Linked DNA regions of Schizosaccharomyces pombe. The gene in region 1 interacts genetically with each later gene. Each region holds a gene or a part of one and is shown on either strand. Other genes may lie near its edges. The genes, in order: pdc202, SPOM_SPBC1703.09 and irc20.

The links.
Region 2: mutations in pdc202 (region 1) and SPOM_SPBC1703.09 together harm fitness less than expected from each alone (positive genetic interaction), as found in Schizosaccharomyces pombe (one large-scale study listed by BioGRID).
Region 3: mutations in pdc202 (region 1) and irc20 together harm fitness more than expected from each alone (negative genetic interaction), as found in Schizosaccharomyces pombe (one large-scale study listed by BioGRID).

The regions. Positions count from the first base shown.
Region 1 is NC_003424.3:583,914-587,672, forward strand, and holds pdc202 (pyruvate decarboxylase), read left to right. Parts: upstream 1-1,683; coding exon 1,684-3,399; 3' UTR 3,400-3,582; downstream 3,583-3,759. Other genes in the region: ysp2 (peptidase family M17 cytoplasmic leucyl aminopeptidase yspII (LAP yspII)), read left to right, coding at 1-120.
Region 2 is NC_003423.3:2,929,606-2,933,151, reverse strand, and holds SPOM_SPBC1703.09 (uncharacterized protein), read right to left. Parts: upstream 1,518-3,546; 5' UTR 1,390-1,517; coding exon 925-1,389; intron 877-924; coding exon 733-876; 3' UTR 521-732; downstream 1-520. Other genes in the region: GTPase Ypt1, read right to left, coding at 153-163; fau1 (5-formyltetrahydrofolate cyclo-ligase), read left to right, coding at 1,963-2,044, 2,090-2,218, 2,264-2,392, 2,441-2,602, 2,654-2,766; acl1 (ATP citrate synthase subunit 1), read right to left, coding at 2,980-3,546.
Region 3 is NC_003424.3:4,656,968-4,660,726, reverse strand, and holds the start of irc20 (ATP-dependent DNA helicase), read right to left. Parts: upstream 1,631-3,759; 5' UTR 1,472-1,630; coding exon 1-1,471. Other genes in the region: ornithine decarboxylase Spe1, read left to right, coding at 2,709-3,759.

The DNA.
Region 1 (3,759 bases):
TTGTCTTTTGCTCATTTAGACATTGCCGGAGTTATGGATAAGCAGCTTAATTCTTGGGATTGTGACGGCATGAGCGGACGCCCAGTTCGCACTATTATTGAAGTCGCTCGCAAGTATTAGCTTATTTATTTTCTTGGCTATATGTGCAAACTTTATGTTTTTACTTATTTACTGTTGATTACACCAATCTCATTTTTCAATGTCCTTGTTAAGTGTATGTCAATGATATGTAGCTATCATGATTTTATTCTTTTTAATACTGTTTTCCACAACCGTTCATAACGGTTGTAAGGACCGAGTCTTTCTGATGGCTCTGGTTCTGTTTCCTTTAAAAATAAAATCAATTCGGTTGAAGTCTCATGTTGTTAAATTTCACTTTCGAAGTAGCGAATTTTTTTTTTCTATTTTGAATATAGATTTGTTTATTAAATGTAGTAATCAATTTACTCATGACTATTACTTTTGTCAAACAAAATCATAATACAAAACTAAATCTTTAAAGGTAGAATATTCTCCTGTGCGAGTTTACAATACTTTGGGATATGATCAAATCAATTTTTTTTAGATATCTGTTGAAATTTTTATAACAGTAATTTTGTATTATTTATCATACTATTTATTAGCGTTACCTGCCCTCTTAAATGTACACATCATGTGGGGGTGGGGGAACCAGTGCTGGAGATCACTTCTTGCTATACCGTTTGGCTCATGGCAACTATTGAGGATAGCAAGGAGCGTTACAATTTGCAAATCAATATGATAAACAGAAAAACAACAAGTTGAAGCTTAACACTGTAGCAATATAACAATGAAAAAAATAATCAGAATTAAAGCAAGAAGCCTATAAATGGTCCATCAATTGTGAAATCGATATTGCTAGATGTCAGGCAAATCGTGAACTCGGTTGAAAAATGTCGTTAATATTCATGTGAAATCATAATTACAGCAATATGTTCAAAGACTTTTGGATACTTTATAATAATGAGGATTCTATTTTTGAGTGGTCACATGGTCTCGTAACCATGAGGTACGCCTTACTTTTACGGACGAAACAATATTTCACATTCAGCTCTCAATGTTAAGTATCCAAACAAACATGGTACAAACCAATAAAGCATGTAAATTAATAAGCTTGAAATAAGGAATAGTCATTAAATTCAGTTTAGACATAATGTAAAAGGTATCAATTTTGTCTTTGGTATAGATACAATTAAGAATTTCGAGACGGAACGTTCGGTGATGTAGAGTTTTCATAATAATTTCTGCAGTTGCTTACACTAACCGAAGAATCGTCCAGTATAAACTGCTGACGATGCCTTAAATCAATAATTGCAAATTGCATAGTTGACGTTTTCCCGGGTGGCACATAGTGAGATTTGAGTCGAATAATGAAATAGCCTCTGACGAGTGGTTTCGTACCAAGAGTTTCAAAAAGAATAATCCACATTAACTCAATGTATCATTGATGACGGAATGTTGCTTATATAGCCAGAGTAACCCTGCTCTGAAGCATCTAAGGTTATATCTTTTTAACTTTTAGCTAGCAAACTCACTTGTTCCTTTAAGTTCAGAAAGTATCTGCTGGTTATTCAACAGATAATTATCTTGCGAAAAAGGAATACACACTCAGCATTGTAATTTGTTGAGTATATTTCACAAGCACATTAAATTGCATTATCAAACATGAGTGGGGATATTTTAGTCGGTGAATATCTATTCAAAAGGCTTGAACAATTAGGGGTCAAGTCCATTCTTGGTGTTCCAGGAGATTTCAATTTAGCTCTACTTGACTTAATTGAGAAAGTTGGAGATGAGAAATTTCGTTGGGTTGGCAATACCAATGAGTTGAATGGTGCTTATGCCGCTGATGGTTATGCTCGTGTTAATGGTCTTTCAGCCATTGTTACAACGTTCGGCGTGGGAGAGCTTTCCGCTATTAATGGAGTGGCAGGTTCTTATGCGGAGCATGTCCCAGTAGTTCATATTGTTGGAATGCCTTCCACAAAGGTGCAAGATACTGGAGCTTTGCTTCATCATACTTTAGGAGATGGAGACTTTCGCACTTTCATGGATATGTTTAAGAAAGTTTCTGCCTACAGTATAATGATCGATAACGGAAACGATGCAGCTGAAAAGATCGATGAAGCCTTGTCGATTTGTTATAAAAAGGCTAGGCCTGTTTACATTGGTATTCCTTCTGATGCTGGCTACTTCAAAGCATCTTCATCAAATCTTGGGAAAAGACTAAAGCTCGAGGAGGATACTAACGATCCAGCAGTTGAGCAAGAAGTCATCAATCATATCTCGGAAATGGTTGTCAATGCAAAGAAACCAGTGATTTTAATTGACGCTTGTGCTGTAAGACATCGTGTCGTTCCAGAAGTACATGAGCTGATTAAATTGACCCATTTCCCTACATATGTAACTCCCATGGGTAAATCTGCAATTGACGAAACTTCGCAATTTTTTGACGGCGTTTATGTTGGTTCAATTTCAGATCCTGAAGTTAAAGACAGAATTGAATCCACTGATCTGTTGCTATCCATCGGTGCTCTCAAATCAGACTTTAACACGGGTTCCTTCTCTTACCACCTCAGCCAAAAGAATGCCGTTGAGTTTCATTCAGACCACATGCGCATTCGATATGCTCTTTATCCAAATGTAGCCATGAAGTATATTCTTCGCAAACTGTTGAAAGTACTTGATGCTTCTATGTGTCATTCCAAGGCTGCTCCTACCATTGGCTACAACATCAAGCCTAAGCATGCGGAAGGATATTCTTCCAACGAGATTACTCATTGCTGGTTTTGGCCTAAATTTAGTGAATTTTTGAAGCCCCGAGATGTTTTGATCACCGAGACTGGAACTGCAAACTTTGGTGTCCTTGATTGCAGGTTTCCAAAGGATGTAACAGCCATTTCCCAGGTATTATGGGGATCTATTGGATACTCCGTTGGTGCAATGTTTGGTGCTGTTTTGGCCGTCCACGATTCTAAAGAGCCCGATCGTCGTACCATTCTTGTAGTAGGTGATGGATCCTTACAACTGACGATTACAGAGATTTCAACCTGCATTCGCCATAACCTCAAACCAATTATTTTCATAATTAACAACGACGGTTACACCATTGAGCGTTTAATTCATGGTTTGCATGCTAGCTATAACGAAATTAACACTAAATGGGGCTACCAACAGATTCCCAAGTTTTTCGGAGCTGCTGAAAACCACTTCCGCACTTACTGTGTTAAAACTCCTACTGACGTTGAAAAGTTGTTTAGCGACAAGGAGTTTGCAAATGCAGATGTCATTCAAGTAGTTGAGCTTGTAATGCCTATGTTGGATGCACCTCGTGTCCTAGTTGAGCAAGCCAAGTTGACGTCTAAGATCAATAAGCAATGAGCAAGCTATTGAGAGTGGAATTGGCAAACAAAGTTTCCTTTGATTTATATGTTTTTTATGATAAGCCCATTCAATTCATATAGTCTTTTAGTATAATGATTAGTTATTAAATTTATGTTTAAAGCAACTTTTTAGTTTAAAATTTTTCAAGTCAAGTTAGGGTGTACGTAAACAAACAATACCTTGGAAGCAATGAATGAAAAGGTAGAGTTAATCCAAACAATGTGGAAACCAGTTTCCTTGCATCTACTTACTAGTTTCGCAGAAAAATTGCTAAACTGCTTAAAAGCCAACTTTAACATTCTTATTTCTTACATAGGAGCTACCGTTCCATTCACATTGTGATATGCTAAGAATTTA
Region 2 (3,546 bases), on another chromosome or scaffold:
TCATCTTCTTACGGTAAAAAAACTCATTACCTATTGATTAGCAATTATATCGCCCAATTTACAAGAATTCTTTAATTTTGGAAAGAAAATACTCTATAAATTGTTAATTTCTAGCTCCTGATGTATTGAATAGTATGCTAAATCCTTACTACTCTGGATTCATCGTATATGCACAGTAATGGCGGACGTTCTGTTGCTCGCTTCAGTCTACGCATATACCAACGCAGCGGAGTGGGGGACCCTACAGCCCAAAGAATGCTCACGGGCAAATCTTTTACTATCATGCTGCTAATTATATTAAGTATCGTTATTTCGTTTAGCGTATCTTAACTTTCCGTAGTATTTCATATGTTTTCAAAACAAATATATTATATGTGCAGACAAAGGCTTCACTCAAGTTAATTAATATAAAATTATAACTTTTTGTAGTTTTTACAGTCAATCTTAAATTGTAAATATACTTAACTAAAATCCATACTGTACAAACGAACGCCAAAATCGCGACTACAATAGTACATACTTCCTTAAAAACAGAGAAAATAATATGTCATAACGGAAAAAAAAATACTTGAAAAAGTAAGAGTAACAAAAACATGAGTCTTTTCTAGATTTTGATGACAGTTAAGTACGGAAACATGTATATTTATGTCAAGACTGTAGAGTTGCCAACATTAAAGTAAGGGGTTCAAATTAGAAGAGGTATAGATATAATAATGTACAACATAAAGAAAATTAATAAAATGAGATATAGCTCGGATTTGCGAATCGCTTTAAGATAAGGTAACCGGAACGAATTAGATTTATGACCAATCTTGAAGGGGTCGTATTCATGAAATAACAAGCAGCTAAAAGCACCAAAGAATTCTTAAAGAGTAACTAATTTGTTAAGATAAGAACTTCCAAAAGAATATATTGCACACTTACCTTTATACAGTTTCGAGATATTCGAATAAGAGCGTTAATAGATGACATGAAAAAGAACCGATTTTTTTGATACTTTTGCAAAATCAATTGTTCTGACATCGCAGTAATTTCTAGATGAATTCGCTGTAATGCTGATTCCATAGCAGCAACTCTGTTCTGTTGTTGCTTTAATATTGATAATTGTAGTTGAACGTTTTGGTTAACTGCAACGAAAATTAAATTATCTGGATTCTTCTTAACAATGGTTTGAGATTTGTTTGGTTCTATAGTTAACTGAGACGTGATAGGAGATATTTTGTTAGAACGGTCAACAGTTTGTGTACTATCAGAAACATCTGCAGGGATAAATTCCGTTGCTTCAACTTTTCCTTGTAACACTATTTCCCATAGCTGCTTAGTAGTAATAAACGAAGATTTTGGCATGATCATACTCGCCGTATTCGCAAGAACCTGATTATCCTGCATGCCTACAAAAAAAACGCATTTCAGGCTCTGACAAGTATGATGAATTACAAAAATAAAATAAGAAGCTTCTCCAAATATCTTATAAAACACAGAAACAAATGTTTTTGAAGATTTAAGAGAGTCGTGGTAGAGGAGGTATGAATTAACAAAAGAACTGTCAGTAAGTATTCAGTCAACTAAGGAATACATATCTGAAAACTTGCGCGCAATGTAAAATAGGTAAATCAATCAATATTTTTAACAATATCAGCAAGTTTAAGTGCATAAAATGGTTTTACGCCATCGTTGAACCTATATTTTAATTTTAAACAATTGTCATCATAAATTGTATTGGAAAATTTTTTTAATACTTAACTTCTTACTGAACATTTGGATATTTCTTAGATATACAATTAACTCAAGCTATTAATTCATTTAATATTAACATGAATTTTGATTACCTAGTATATATATTATATTCTATAAAATTGATAACCGATTTATAACACGAGTCAGATTAATATTGATAATATTGTGAACCTCACTAACAAAGCTTTTACTAACTATAAATATTAAGTCGTATTAGTCAAAGTAATGAGTTTAAAAAAGAATCAACTACGTGCTATTTTAAATAGCAGTTTAGGCAAACTTGCGGATCATATTATTGATTCTCAATGTAAGTATACTTAAAATATCAAGCTTAACAATTAAATGCATAAAGCAATTTCCATTTGCAAACAAGTGGTCGAATTACCCGAATGGAAAAGATGCAAAAATGTCTGTCTGTACATGAACATGCCAAAAAAAGAAGTACGAACTAGATGCCTTATAGACGTGGCTTTCAAAGAAGGTTAGTATTAAATCTTTCAATACATTACTAATCATGCAAAAATAGGCAAAAATGTTTTCATACCTAAATGTATTGGTTCGCATGTAATGGAAATGTATCAAGTTTTCGAGAAAACTGAGTCCTTGACGATTAACAAATGGGGTATTGCTGAGCCCAATGGAGAATCAAGAAAGAGTTGGTTAAAATTCTGGTAGAATTGTTCAATCTATTAATCATATTTAGTTATGGATGATGAAACAGACTGTGAACTTATAATAGTTCCGGGAGTCGCTTTTGATGAAAAATTATCTAGACTAGGGCATGGAAAGGGGTACTATGACAATTACATTTCCAAGTATCAAAGCTGGGCGTTACAAAAGGAATCACGAGCTAACATGTTCAAAGGTTCGTTTCCAATCTCGCTGTGTAATTCATATAAACAACTAACGTGACCAGTGGGAATTTGCCTTAAAGAACAAATACTTCCAAATCGAGAAATCCCAATGGATACCAGAGACCAAAAACTGGATGCCCTTGTTACGCCGGAAAAAGTAATCAGAAATATATAGTACAAAATCTTATTCTTATCTGCAAGTTGCAATTTAGATGACTACGTATTAATATTTATGGACTAATAATAAACAAATTTTAAGTCCCCTTAAATCTCTGGTAAAATATTTTCGTACGGCGGAGAAGTCAATCCAAACGACCACTAGAAGACTGTTCACGATAATCCGAAAAGCAAAACCTATTCCAAAACAGAACAAACTTAAGTTCATAATCTAAGACAAATACAAGAAATCGTCCCAAGGGTGACGATAAAGAGGTGCCCTAAGACGTTTCTGATCGAGATGATGACCAATAAGACCAATACTACGTCCCAACACGAACATACCATTCAAGATACCCAAATTGATATATTCATTAGCTTCTTCAAGAGTGAAAGCACCACAGTTACGAAGTAAATCGACAAAGCATACAGCAATACAGCCATCAACGTTCAAGATAAGGTTATCCTTCTTGGAAGTAGTGACATTCTCTACGGCCAAAGCGTAATCTAAGAGCTTAGTTGAAGGGAAATTCTTTTTAACGTAACCCTTGACCAATTCAACACGAAGATCAGGATTATTTCTACTCTTAATTCTATGTCCAATACCAGGAATCAATTTGTTGGCCTTACGGCAAGAGTCAACAAAAGCACGTGGAGATAACCCTGCGTCATAAGCTTTAGAAAACTCTTGAGCAGCTCCATCAAGCGCACCACCGAATCGGGTACCGATAGTAAGCAAACCGGCAACAAGTGAAGAAATCAAATCTTTTCCTGCTCTGGTAGTAATAATGGTATTCAT
Region 3 (3,759 bases), 4.1 Mb from region 1:
CTATAATTTGCATCCAAGCTTGTTTTTTGTATAAATACATAGGGGAGTAGCGAAGAAGAAATAAAAGGCCAAAAAGGTCATCAACTTCACTACGTACGGGAGTTCCACTTACAGTCCAACAATTGACACGAGGTATGCGATAAATCATTTGTGCGACATTACTCTGTGAAGTTTCAACCATCTGAGCTTCATCAACACAAATTCTCCACCAACATACATCAATCAATGGAGACTTTGGAGAAACATGTCGCTTTTCATGTCTTAAGGTCCTGGAATGAGATTCAGTGTACAATAGCTCAAACCGTAAATCAGAATAAGATGTTACCACTATATCACAATCCAAAAAAATTTTAGCTGATTTCAAACCATTGGATTTTCGGATTCCTTGGTAATGGAATACTTTCAATGATGGCACATGCAAATCTATCTCAGATAACCATTGATCGAGAATTGTAGAAGGCGTAATTATTAGGGTGGCCTTGGAATACTTTACATTTTTTCCGACGACCTGATCGAAAGTACAAGTATCAGTCAAAGAAATTGGCAACTGATGATGCAAAACTAATCCTAAGACTTCCAAAGTTTTTCCCATGCCCATTTCATCGGCTAAAATGCCTCCACGTATATCACCGGACGCAAGCAAATATGTTTTTTCTTTCGAAAATGTCATATAGCCGTAAACATGATTAACGTAAACCATTCGATCATCAAAAAGACTTTTGCAATGGTACCATAGAGGTGGTAAATCATTTGAGGTTAGGAATTTCTCTTCTTCTCTTCGTTTCATCCATTCTAAAACACGCATTTGAAATGGTAAAAGTTCCGAAGAAAGCCTTGGATCGCGTGATACATTGGCGAAACGTAGGCTTTTTGCCAATTTTCTTGCACAATCGTAAAATAGTGCAGTGTTAATATCTAAACAAGAATATTCCTCATCTTCAGACGGAAGGAACGTATAGTCTAGTAAAGCAGTGTATGAGGAAGATGATCCAGATGAAAGAATCGCATCTTGAGGGGCAAGAAAAGAGTCGAGTATGGAAATGCCAAACGACAAAATTAACTCGGATCCTTTTACAGTAACATAAGATGTGTATTTTATAATTTTCTTCAGCCGCCTATTATCCTCCCAAAGCTTACTCCAAATTTTGAGAGGTGCTTTTAAAGCAGAGTAAGTATCCTTATTCAAGTCGACAGAAAACAAAGGAATCAAGTTTTTGGCCAATGAAATTTTTCTTTGAGTAAAACTATATGCATGTAGTTTCTCAGATCCATCAACCCAAAAAACGACAGGATAAATAGTAGACTTTAGCCGATTTAACTCGTCCTCTGGTCCACGCCATATCTGCTGGTCTAGCTTGAGTTGGTGCTGGAATGCACGGTAGCAATTGGCGAAATCACTTTCCAAAAGGTTGTTTCTTTCATTTAGTAAGGAAGCCTCCTTCTCTATTTTTCGCCTCTTAGTTCGGTCCATAATGTTCCCTCTCTTAATTAAATACAGTCGTGTTTTGAACCAATAGACTTAAAAATTTTAGAATGAATAGAATTCTTTAATGTACAAAGAAATAAACGAAAATATATAAACCCTCAAGAACACAAAAGGGTAGGCATTGTGTTATGTGCTTTTGTTCTTAGTTGTGGGCAAAAAGTGTCTTGATTAAAACATGTGCCACTTTTTTTTTGCTAAAGCTTGCAGAGTCGAATATTACTTTGGTATTTTTTCCCCACCTTTCTTCCCTCTTTTTTTTTTTGGTTTAAAAGTACGACAAGGTAAATATCGATAAATCGTTTGTAAGGGAATTCTATTATTCACGGTTGAATCAGTACAAACACGAATTAGAACTCAAAATTACCTAAGAAATAACATCTACGTTAATTAGTAAGTAAATTGTAAATACTATTAAAATTACCGATACACTTAATATCTCATTTGCTGGCTAAAAGAAAGAGCCCTTTTTACTCGGTATTGTACAAACACACTATTCCTTATTGCTAAAACACTGTGCTCATCCTTTAAGTATATATCGATTACCAAGTTTAATTCAATTAGCAAAAAAATATAAATTCTAAATAAAACGTAAACTGGTAGGAAAGTTTTTAAAAGTGATGTCACCTTCACTGGACAAAGATTATTGTTATTGTCATAAACTAAAGTACAAAATATAAACTAAAGATTGTATACATATTAAAGAAATATCCTAGTTTGAAGGATTCTTGTCGTCGCAAATATTGTTAAACCAAACTGCGTTTACCGTATTACATTGCAATTCGATTTGTTAGACTATTATGTCAATAAGACAAACGCTAAACTAAGGTTAATTCTACTAGTGTGTAATATTTTTTTATGTACGCACACATTGCAAAATTGAACTTACCCTTAACCAACAACACGATTGGGAATTAGCAGAAAACAGTGACAAGTGGGTAAGAAAAAGAATCTGGAAGGATAAACGCTCTTTTTGCGCGACCACCAAAAGTATATAAAAGTGCAAATTTCCGTCTACGTCTCCTATTTAAGACAATCTCTCGAATAAGGACTTTTTGATCAACAGCAGATTTCAAATCATTGATTGATTTGAAATAGTAAAATTATTGTAAAGCGAGCAGTTGACAAACAAAACGTTTGTTTAGCTTGTATCCGAAGAAAAATTATTCAACGATTCAATTTAGTGATCTCGGAATTTCTAGAAGAGAAAAAGCTTACTTACACGATGCCTGCTATTATGGAAAAGAATATGCTCGTCAGCGAGTCGTTGCGTACGACGGAATTACTTGGCCATGTTAAACCAATTGACTCAGTGGTGACATGGTCTTCGCCTGGATCGTCTCGCCAGGCGATTGGTGAGGCGTTTAAAAACACGATTGAGGAAATTGAGCGTGCAGCTGTCCGTGGTGAACCCGCTGACTCTGATGCATTTTTTGTTGCTGATTTGAACGGAGTATATCGCCAACTTCTTCGTTGGCATGCTAAATTACCTCGTGTTCAACCATTTTATGCAGTCAAATGTAATCCTGATCCTAAGGTACTTGCATTGCTTAATAAATTTGGAACTGGTTTTGACTGTGCTTCTAAGGGTGAACTCGAACAAATTCTTGGCTTAGGTGTATCCCCTGATCGAATTGTATACGCCAATCCTTGTAAAGCCATAACTTATGTGCGCTATGCTGCTTCTAAAGGCATTAATCTGATGACTTTTGATAATGCCGATGAGCTGTACAAGGTGAAACAACATCATCCCAACTCACGTCTTCTTCTTCGTATTTCTACCGATGATTCCAATAGTCTTTGCCGTCTCAGTCTAAAGTTTGGTGCTTCTCTCGATGATACTGGTAAGCTGCTAGACATCGCAAAGTCCCTGGAGTTAAATGTCGTCGGTGTTAGCTTTCACGTTGGGTCAGGAAGCTATGATCCCTCAGCATTTTTGGATGCTATCCAACGATCTCGTCAGGTATTTGATCAGGGACTTGAAAGGGGATTTAATTTTGACTTGTTGGACATTGGTGGTGGTTTCATGAATGACAGCTTTGATGGCGTAGCAGACCTTATTCGCTCTGCCTTGGATACTTATTTTGATCCCTCCATCCGTGTTATTTCTGAGCCCGGTCGCTTTTTCGTCTCTTCTTCGTTTACTTTGGCTGTCAATGTAATTGCCAAACGGAAGCTTGATGATGAAGAGAAGGTGATGTATTACGTAAACGATGGTGTTTATGGTAGCCTTAATTGTATTTTGTTTGACCATCAACATCCAGTTGCTCGAGTTC